3 linked regions of the Kluyveromyces lactis genome follow. The protein of the gene in region 3 purifies or fractionates together with the protein of the main gene of each other region. This does not show direct contact. Links are inferred from orthologs where the notes say so. Each region holds a gene or a part of one and is shown on either strand. Other genes may lie near its edges.

Region 1 (3,302 bases), about 420 kb from region 3:
ACGATGTATTGAAATCTGGTGTTAAAGTAGGTCACGTGTACGTCGATACCGTGGGTCCGCCTATCTCGTATCAAAAGAAATTGGAAAGTATCTTCCCACAGTGCAAATTCACCGTTGCGAAAAAGGCTGATTCTATTTACCCCATTGTAAGTGTTGCGAGTGTGGTAGCAAAAGTGACCAGAGATATCATCCTTTCACAATGCAAGAAAACCGAAGATGAAATCCTTGGGTCAGGGTATCCTGGTGACTCAAAAACCGTTCAATGGCTACGAAACGAGATGAAACCATTGATGGGATGGTCTCCCTACATGGTACGGTTCTCTTGGCAAACATGTGCCACGATGCTCGCAAATAGTAAATCTACCATCGAAATAGAATGGGAAGAAGACGCAATGACCAAGAAAAAAATGCAGTGGGCACCCGAACAGAAAAACAGACCTATTACACTTGATTCCTGGTACCAGTAAACCCTGACTCATTTCCATTTATCCTACTATCTATATATACAACGTATTATGAATTTATCTATTGACAGTCGCGACGCTGTCATCAGATTACGAAATAAGCTACCCGCATTCGAGATTTGCATTGCCTGGCACAATTGTGGCCACCGTTTAGGCCGCTGGCACTAGCCAAAAATTGACACTAGTAAACTCCCTACACCACATATTAATCGGTAAGTTACTCTACTCCATCAATTGTGAAAGCATTTATACAGCTCAAGAGCAGGTTTGGGATTGAGATAAATATCATCTCGAGAAATACCATTATATAAAGCTTTATAACTATCACGACGGAAACCCTTCTAGCAGCTATCAGTTTGCAGCGGATCACGGGCATGTTTCTGTTCATCCCACCTTCTATCCCGTCGCACCATTATAGTGTGGATATTTTGGATTTCGAAAATTCTGAAAACTGAAATTCTCAAGAAATAAAAGGAAAAAGGTTAGATGGGAGAACATTTATCTGTAAATAACATCGATTAGATTGCACAAGAGAAAAAAAAATGATTGTGATTCGCTAGTGCATTTGACGATACTATTGGAACACTGATTACACCTGTTGGTAATTGATCTCGCTTGAAAGAAGAAGATTGAAATAATACATCAAGCCTTTTCCTCCTTCATTTAGAACTGAGATATCAATATTTATTAAGGTTACATTTCACTACGAATTGGACACAGGAATTGACTGTACCAGAAGATAAAATCGGCTTACATTTGATATTCAATTGTATTAACCAAGTTACGGGAACGAATCAATTGTTTGTGTACATATATTAAGAAAAGAACTAGGAAAAATGTCTGCATTACTTTCTAGAGTTGCTCCAAGAATGAGCGTCTTGGCTTGTGCTGCCAGACTTCAATTGAGAACGTATGCTTCTTACCCACCATACACCATCATTGGTATGCCAGCTTTGTCTCCTACCATGGTTCAAGGTGGTTTGACGGAATGGAGTAAGAACGTTGGTGACAGGTTGGAGCCTGGTGATGTCCTTGCTGAAGTTGAAACTGATAAGGCTCAAATGGATTTCGAATTCCAAGAAGAAGGTTATTTGGCTAAGATCTTGGTTCCAGCTGGTACCAAGGATATCCCAGTGAACAAGCCACTTGCTGTTTACGTTGAGGAAGAATCTGACGTTCCAGCTTTCGCTAATTTCACTGCTGCAGACGCCGAATCTGCTACCGCTGCTAAGGAAGCTGCCAAGAATGGTGCTAAGCAACCTGCAAAGGAAGAATCCAAGGAAGAATCCAAGGAAGGTGCTAAACCAGCTTCTAAACCAGCTGCCAAGAAATCCTCTGGATCTTCTGCTTCTTCAGGTACTAGAATCTTTGCTTCTCCATTGGCCAAGAGCATCGCTTTGGAACATGGTGTTTCCTTGAAGGAAGTTGAAGGTACTGGTCCAAGAGGCAGAATCACTAAGGATGATGTTGAAGCCTTCTTGGCCTCGGCTCCATCTCGTGAATCCTCCGCTGCTAAGGCCGCTCCAGCCCTAGCTGCCCCAACTCCAGCATCCGCCACTTATGAAGATGTTCCAATCAGTAACATGAGACAAATCATCGGTGACCGTTTGTTGCAATCCACTCAAAATATTCCATCATACATTGTTTCCTCTCAAATTAGTGTTTCTAAGCTTTTGAAGTTGAGACAATCCTTGAACGCTACTGCTAAAGACCAATACAAGTTGTCCATCAATGACATCTTGATCAAGGCCATTGCTGTTGCTGCTCAGAGATGTCCAGATGCTAATGCTTACTGGATGCCAGAACAAGGTGTCATCAGAAAGTTCAAGAACGTTGACGTCTCTGTCGCTGTTGCTACCCCAACCGGTTTGTTGACTCCGATCGTCAAGAACGCCGAATCCAAGGGCCTTGTTTCCATTTCTAAGGAAATCAAGGACTTAGGTAAGCGTGCTAAGGATAATAAGTTGAAGCCAGAAGAATTCCAAGGTGGTACTATCTGTATCTCTAACTTGGGTATGAACCCTGCCGTTTCCATGTTCACCTCTATCATCAACCCACCACAATCTACCATCTTGGCTATCGGTACCGTTAACAAGGTCCCAGTCGAAGATGCTGGTTCCGAATTCGGCTTCACCTTTGACCAAAAGATGAATATCACTGGTACTTTCGATCACAGAACTATCGATGGTGCTAAGGGTGGTGAATTCATGAAGGAATTGAAGAAGGTTATTGAAAACCCATTGGAACTATTGTTATGAACAGATTCAGAACCTAACAAATCTAATGATCAAAAATAATAAAGTTAAGAATTTCAAAGTAAAGAAGAAAAAAGCCTACCCACCAACATTCCAAAACGAATTCTCCTAGTCGAAGTTTTTCGACCGTATGCCAATAGCCACGCTTTCCTTTTAACAACGTTGTAGGTCAGTTATGACTTATTCGACCCACAACCTTGCATGGAAAGAATTCGATTTAACATACTGCAACTATGTAAAAAATTACCATTTCTATAGATATAATGTAAGAAATTGAATATCTCATGTTTTTACCATTCCTCGCAATCGCTTTGCATAACAGCACTCTCTCCGATTTACTGTATATACTACTGAACTTATTCTCTCATAGCAGTCCCCAAGGTTCTTTTAATATTTTAGACCACGTGACTGTTTTTACATTGCCCGAAATACAGGAATAAAGTTGGAAAAAAAATGTTTACAAAAGAAGACAAGTTTGTGCTAACACTTTGACCAGGTAATGTATCTTAATTGCAGGCTCAGTTCCCTTGACCTCGTTGAACTTTAACCGTTAAGAGACAAACATTACCGAAAACAGATCCAC
Region 2 (3,205 bases), on a different chromosome or scaffold from region 3:
TCCAACGGTGCCAAATCATTACATGGGTATGATCTGTTATTGTAACGGATCTCTGGCAAGAGAAAAGATAAGAGACGATATCAATGGAGAATCACAAACACATGATTGGACTAAATTTAACGAGGCATTGCTGGATAACTCATTATCTAACGATAATGAAATTGGATTATATTTCCCATTAGGCGAAATTGTTCCAAACATGGATGCTGTCACTAAAAGATGTTATTTCAAGTACATAGACAATAAAGTCGTATTGACAAATGTCAATATGTTCCCTGATAAGAGACTTGATGCAAAGAACATTGTAGAATCACAAGCGCTAAGTTGCAGAGTGAGAATTTCCCCGTTGTTATCCGAAGAGGCCAATGCGATCAACGAAACACAAGTGCTAAAATCAGAATTAAAGGTGAAGTTCGACTATGATTTCTTCCCCTTAGCGTCTTACGCCAAGAGACCTAATAGAGCCTTTTTCGTCGGTGGTGCATCAAAGAACGAAGCCATCATCAAAACGATGGCTAATGTCATTGGAGCCAAGAATGGTAACTACAGACTAGAAACTGCAAATTCGTGTGCTCTAGGCGGTTGCTACAAGGCGCTATGGTCCTTGCTCAAGGAGCAAAACCCCGAAACCCCATCGTTCGACCGATGGTTGAACGCATTCTTTAACTGGGAAAGAGATTGTGAGTTTGTTTGTAACTCGGACGCTGCCAAATGGGAAAACTACAACAACAAGATTCGAACTCTAAGTGAGATTGAAAGAGAAGCGTCATCACACTAAATCAAAAACGCTGTTAGATGAACCTCCAATTGACCGTGACGCATCAATAGCCATGATGCAAGTAAGTAAGTAAGTAAGTAAGTAGGCAATCAATCTTTGTACACATGATGAACCTCTCAAAGACATTACCCGGAAATCGTTATCCACTGTTTGTGAAAAAAAAAAAAAGTGTTATCCCACTAGAGACGACACAGTCCCCCACCCGACGGTTTTATACCGTTGAGATGAGACTATGGGAAAGGTTTAGAAATAAAGTATATATGTGAAAGATTGAATTGTCCAAGTACACAGAGCTTTGAACAAAGTTCAATTGAATACTTTTGTTGTCAATTGTTTCTGGGAGAAAGACGATTTTATCGACAATCTATTGGTAGAAAAAACGAAGTCTGTAAATTGGAAACCTATATTCGTCATTCAGCGAAAGAAGGTGGTAATTAAAAGTATCATTTACAATAGATAAGGACGACACAGATCAGAAAAGAAGCAAAACCATCCTTTGTTAGGCCTGTACGGAAGATATAGGAGAGAGACTGTAGTGTGTTTGTTGAAAAAACCTGTATTCAATAATGTTCCGTTTAGCAATTAAAAACAGGGCGTGTCTCCGTCAATTACACCAATGTAGAACTATGTTGAAGGCCCAAGCCTTTGGGATGCCTGCCATGTCACCAACCATGGAAAGGGGCGGTGTCGTTGATTGGAAGTTCAAAGCTGGTGATACTTTCTCTGCCGGTGATGTGCTCTTGGAGGTTGAAACCGACAAGGCAACCATTGACGTGGAGGCACAAGATGACGGTAAGCTTGCCAAAATTTTGAAGGAGAACGGTGCCAAGGATATTCCTGTCGGGGAACCCATTGCATACATCGCTGATGTGGACGATGATTTGGCCACTTTGGAGTTCCCAAAGCCCGTTGAAGCCAAGAAAGAATCAAAGCCAGTTGAAACTAAAAAGGAGGAGGCCAAACCAGTGGAAAAAACTGACAAGAAGAAGCAAACCAGTGCTTCAAAAACACCTTCTAAGAACGGCAGTGTTCAGGCTAATGCATCTCAAACATTATTCCCATCTGTGCTATCACTACTAGAGGAAAACAATATTTCAACTGCAGATGCGTTGGACAAAATCAAGGCCACTGGTCCAAACGGTAGAATCTTAAAAGGTGATGTGCTAGCCTATTTGGGTAAGATTTCCCAAGATTCGTTGAACAAGGTAACCGAGTACATCAAATCCCATGAGAAATTGGATCTAACCAACATCGAATTAAGACCTGCTAGAGAAACTGCAGCAGCAGCAGCAGCAGCACAAGCTGCTAAACCCGCTAAACCATTACCTCTAGTACTAAGCGAACAGATCACACTCCATGTCCCAGAAAACGTCACTTACTCCCAACTATCTGCTGCGATAGCATCGTACGTCAAGGAATGTTCATTCTTGGCACACGACGAACCATTGACCAATGACGCATCCGAACTATACGACCCATTATTCGAAGAGTTACTAGTACAAGAACCAACAAAACCTCGTTTCAAGGTCACTTATAACATAGTAGACTTGGAACCTACACCAAGACACCGTACCTCTTCACCACAACCAGATATCTTTGATTTATTATCTGGTACAACAACGCAAGAACTACAACAAGAGGCATCCGCAGTATCCAAACAACAACAAACACGTCACGAATACGCGTTGAACGTTTCCGTCGCCGTTGACGAATCGTTAACGGATGCCAAGCAAAGAGCAGAAAATTTCGTTGCCCAACTATCTAACTTGGAATTGTTCCAATGAGTAAAATTACGACAAGACATAAAGAGGAAAAAAAAACTAGAAGAAGCCGAAGCCAAATCTTCTTCGAAATATTCATGCCCCGTCCGCAAGCTGTATAGACTGGACTTAAGAGCCGGCAGATATATATCTATATTATCAGTATAATAGACAAAAAAACGACAACTCAAGAATTCAACCAAACAGGCACTTCAGACTTCTTTATGGTCTTGGCACAGTAAAGAAGATCAAAAAGTAACATCAAAAATTACTGCATCATATTTTCGCAGAATACCAACCTGGCACCAGTGCCCTATTCAGACTAAGCAGCTTTCCATTCCAAAAATACCAGTAGCCTAACTAAGCGAGATGCAAGCGAAATGCGAGATGAAATGAAACCCAAATAAAAAAAAAAAGACACAAACAAACAGGAACAAAATTGCGCGTTTTTCCCCACAGAACAGCACGTAATGTGTACCGTTTTTTGTTTTTCGTTTCAAGTACAAAAAAAACAAAAAACGGTACGCTGTTCACGTGTCTGAAAAACCAGGAACCGTAAAAGGATATTCCGTTAGCCAACAAAAAAATAGGTAAAAAGGGAAAAAAAAATCCAAGGCACTGTATTCTGTATATGTTAACTCTGCAAATCCAAATTCAATCTAAATTG
Region 3 (2,984 bases):
ATTCACAGATGAAAATACACTCAAGCGACCAGATTGGATACTACTCACCAGTCATAACCTTTCCCAAGCTGCATGGGGTCCCAGCCCACTAAAAAAACCTACCAATTACGAATGCGGTATTCTATACACGACAACCATGGGGAGAAACAAAGTACGGTTAACACTAGCAAGTGCCCAACAACCGCCAGGAAGAACAATTGGGTCAAGGGTACCCGAAGACATAACTGTTCTGCCCACAGTAAAAGTGGTGACGCCGTATCCATTGAAATTTCAGCGTTACTCAGCAACTGACGAACCTTATACCTCTGTCGTTCAATGATGATATACACAATAATACCATCTAACAACATTCTAAGGCGCTGACATCTGTCAGCGCTTTACGTTACCCGGATTATTTAGGTATCACACCGGAATAACAGAAAAATTGACAATGTCCGCATCATTCCCACGCATCACGTGCCCCCACCCTTTTCCGTCGTTTGAACACCTATACACCTCATCGCCTCCATCAATCTCATCTGCTATGTCGTATTCTCCCGTCGCCAAAACAGGTTTTTTCAGCAGATTTGTGATGGCGCACTTACTATGCGCTAGCATATCTATGAGATAAATACAACGGTATAGCAACCCGCGAATCGCTCGACCCGTACAGTCGAAACGAATAAAAAAAAGCTTATGCAGCGCATATATATTCCTTTAAAGGATTTTGATTTCACCAATATATAAAGAAATATAAGAGGGTCATTTCAGCACCAGGGAAGTTGTTAGTTCTTTAGAGTCGTTATTCCTTTATTCATTGTATTATCTTCTGTTTTGTGTTTCATTTTTTATACTTTATGGATCTGTAATTCAATACTTGTTTAATCTTACTTTATAATTTCTTAAAGGTTTTATAAATCTTACTACAGATTCTCATCCAATCCCACTCAATTAGCGGTTCCCTGAGGCTAACGTCTATTTGTTGAATAGGTCAAAGAACGAGTTTTTATTTTTTTTCAGTGAAAAAATAATATCAAATTCAAGAAATTATAAAAAAGAATTCAGTTGAAAAGGATCCTTTTTAGTTATAGAATTGACAATTGACTATCTAATTTGTCTGTCTTATAACAAACGCATCTCAACAACTTCTGTCTGTTTGTTTATTGCTTCGTTTTTGTTTTCGAATTATCAAAACATTATTTCTTCTACCTTTAAAAGAAAAAGAAAAACGAAAAGATATCAAACTCTAGTATAATATTCATTCTCCTTTGGTTCAGTAAACGTTTTACAAGCGAAGACAATTTTAAAGGTTAAGAAGAATTACACGTAGTGAAACGAAACGTTAGTACCCGATTGATAAAAACTTTCAACTGGCAAAATTATTAAATACTAATACAACATGATGATGCTTTCTAACACTTTTAAGAGGGCTGTTCCTTCTGTGGTTCAATCCATGAGATTTGCTTCTACCAAGACCATGACCGTCAGAGAAGCTTTGAATTCTGCCATGGCCGAAGAAATGGACCGTGATGATGATGTTTTCATCATTGGTGAAGAAGTTGCTCAATATAATGGTGCTTACAAGGTTACCAAGGGTTTATTGGACCGTTTCGGTGAAAGAAGAGTTGTTGACACTCCAATTACCGAAATGGGTTTCACTGGTTTGGCTGTTGGTGCCGCTTTGAAGGGTTTAAAGCCAATTGTTGAATTCATGTCTTTCAACTTCTCCATGCAAGCTATGGATCAAGTCATTAACTCCGCTGCTAAGACTTACTATATGTCCGGTGGTACTCAGAAATGTCAAATCGTTTTCAGAGGTCCAAACGGTTCTGCTGTCGGTGTTGCTGCTCAACATTCCCAAGATTATTCTGCTTGGTACGGTTCTGTTCCAGGTATGAAGGTTTTGGTTCCATACTCTGCTGAAGATGCTAGAGGTTTGTTGAAGGCTGCCATTCGTGATCCAAACCCAGTTGTTTTCTTGGAAAACGAATTGTTATACGGTCAATCTTTCGAAGTCTCTGAAGAATCTCTGTCTACTGATTTCACTTTGCCATACAAAGCAAAGGTTGAAAGAGAAGGTTCTGATATCTCTATCATCAGTTACACCAGAAATGTTCAATTCTCTTTGGAAGCTGCTGAAATTTTGTCTAAGCAATACGGTGTTTCTGCTGAAGTTATCAATTTGAGAGCCATTAGACCTTTGGATGTTGAAGCTATCATCAACACTGTCAAGAAGACCAACCACTTGATTACTGTTGAATCTACTTTCCCAGCTTTCGGTGTTGGTGCTGAAATTATCGCTCAAATTATGGAATCTGAAGCCTTCGATTATTTGGATGCTCCAATTCAAAGAGTTACTGGTGCTGAAGTCCCAACTCCTTATGCTAAGGAATTAGAAGATTTTGCTTTCCCAGACCCTGACACCATTGTCAGAGCTGCTAAAAGTGTTTTGTCTATTGAATGATTGCACCGTGCACTCTTTCTTTACTGACAGTTATGCACCTCTGTTGGCCTCCGTTTTTTATCAAAACAAAAGAGAATATTCATTGGATAAGGAATAGTGCATGATGGTTCATTCGCATTCGGTTTTTCTTATGATTGTACTCCTTTGTTGCAATAAACTAAGTTATGAATTGATTTACAAACTTCAAAGAAAAATAGAAAAATTAAAACATATTATATTATTAAGATATGAATACCAAGTTCAGTTAATACACGATTTTGGATTAGGAAATAGAATGAGATAGAGTTGCCTGTCGTTGAATTATTCGCTGGTAAAGGTAAGTTGATGAATTAGAGATTTTACAATTTTTTTTCATGTATGTTGCCCATCAGTAATGATGAAGAAAAGTTTTCATCACTAGAGATGGGAACAATAAGGTATTTGGGGACAACTGCGGTTGTTATGAGATTAAACTGTATATATATATTCTGCCGTTAAAACAAGACGCTGTGCGCTACTTTCTGTACAACTTGTCGTTATTTCCATCAAGGTATTGTCTTTT

What was found.
Region 1: the proteins of PDB1 (region 3) and LAT1 purify together in Saccharomyces cerevisiae (affinity purification with mass spectrometry; 5 studies listed by BioGRID, with this or other methods). This does not show direct contact. The link is inferred for Kluyveromyces lactis from reciprocal best matches to the Saccharomyces cerevisiae genes PDB1 and LAT1.
Region 2: the proteins of PDB1 (region 3) and PDX1 purify together in Saccharomyces cerevisiae (affinity purification with mass spectrometry; 4 studies listed by BioGRID, with this or other methods). This does not show direct contact. The link is inferred for Kluyveromyces lactis from reciprocal best matches to the Saccharomyces cerevisiae genes PDB1 and PDX1.

Annotation. Positions count from the first base shown.
Region 1 is NC_006042.1:462,527-465,828, reverse strand, and holds LAT1 (dihydrolipoyllysine-residue acetyltransferase), read left to right. Parts: upstream 1-1,300; coding exon 1,301-2,722; downstream 2,723-3,302. Other genes in the region: ribonuclease H2 catalytic subunit RNH201, read left to right, coding at 1-467. UniProt on the Saccharomyces cerevisiae protein: The pyruvate dehydrogenase complex catalyzes the overall conversion of pyruvate to acetyl-CoA and CO(2).
Region 2 is NC_006041.1:864,260-867,464, forward strand, and holds PDX1 (Pdx1p), read left to right. Parts: upstream 1-1,344; coding exon 1,345-2,562; downstream 2,563-3,205. Other genes in the region: XKS1 (xylulokinase), read left to right, coding at 1-778. UniProt on the Saccharomyces cerevisiae protein: Required for anchoring dihydrolipoamide dehydrogenase (E3) to the dihydrolipoamide transacetylase (E2) core of the pyruvate dehydrogenase complexes of eukaryotes. This specific binding is essential for a functional PDH complex.
Region 3 is NC_006042.1:882,237-885,220, reverse strand, and holds PDB1 (pyruvate dehydrogenase (acetyl-transferring) subunit E1 beta), read left to right. Parts: upstream 1-1,378; coding exon 1,379-2,443; downstream 2,444-2,984. Other genes in the region: TDP1 (tyrosyl-DNA phosphodiesterase 1), read left to right, coding at 1-319. UniProt on the Saccharomyces cerevisiae protein: The pyruvate dehydrogenase complex catalyzes the overall conversion of pyruvate to acetyl-CoA and CO(2).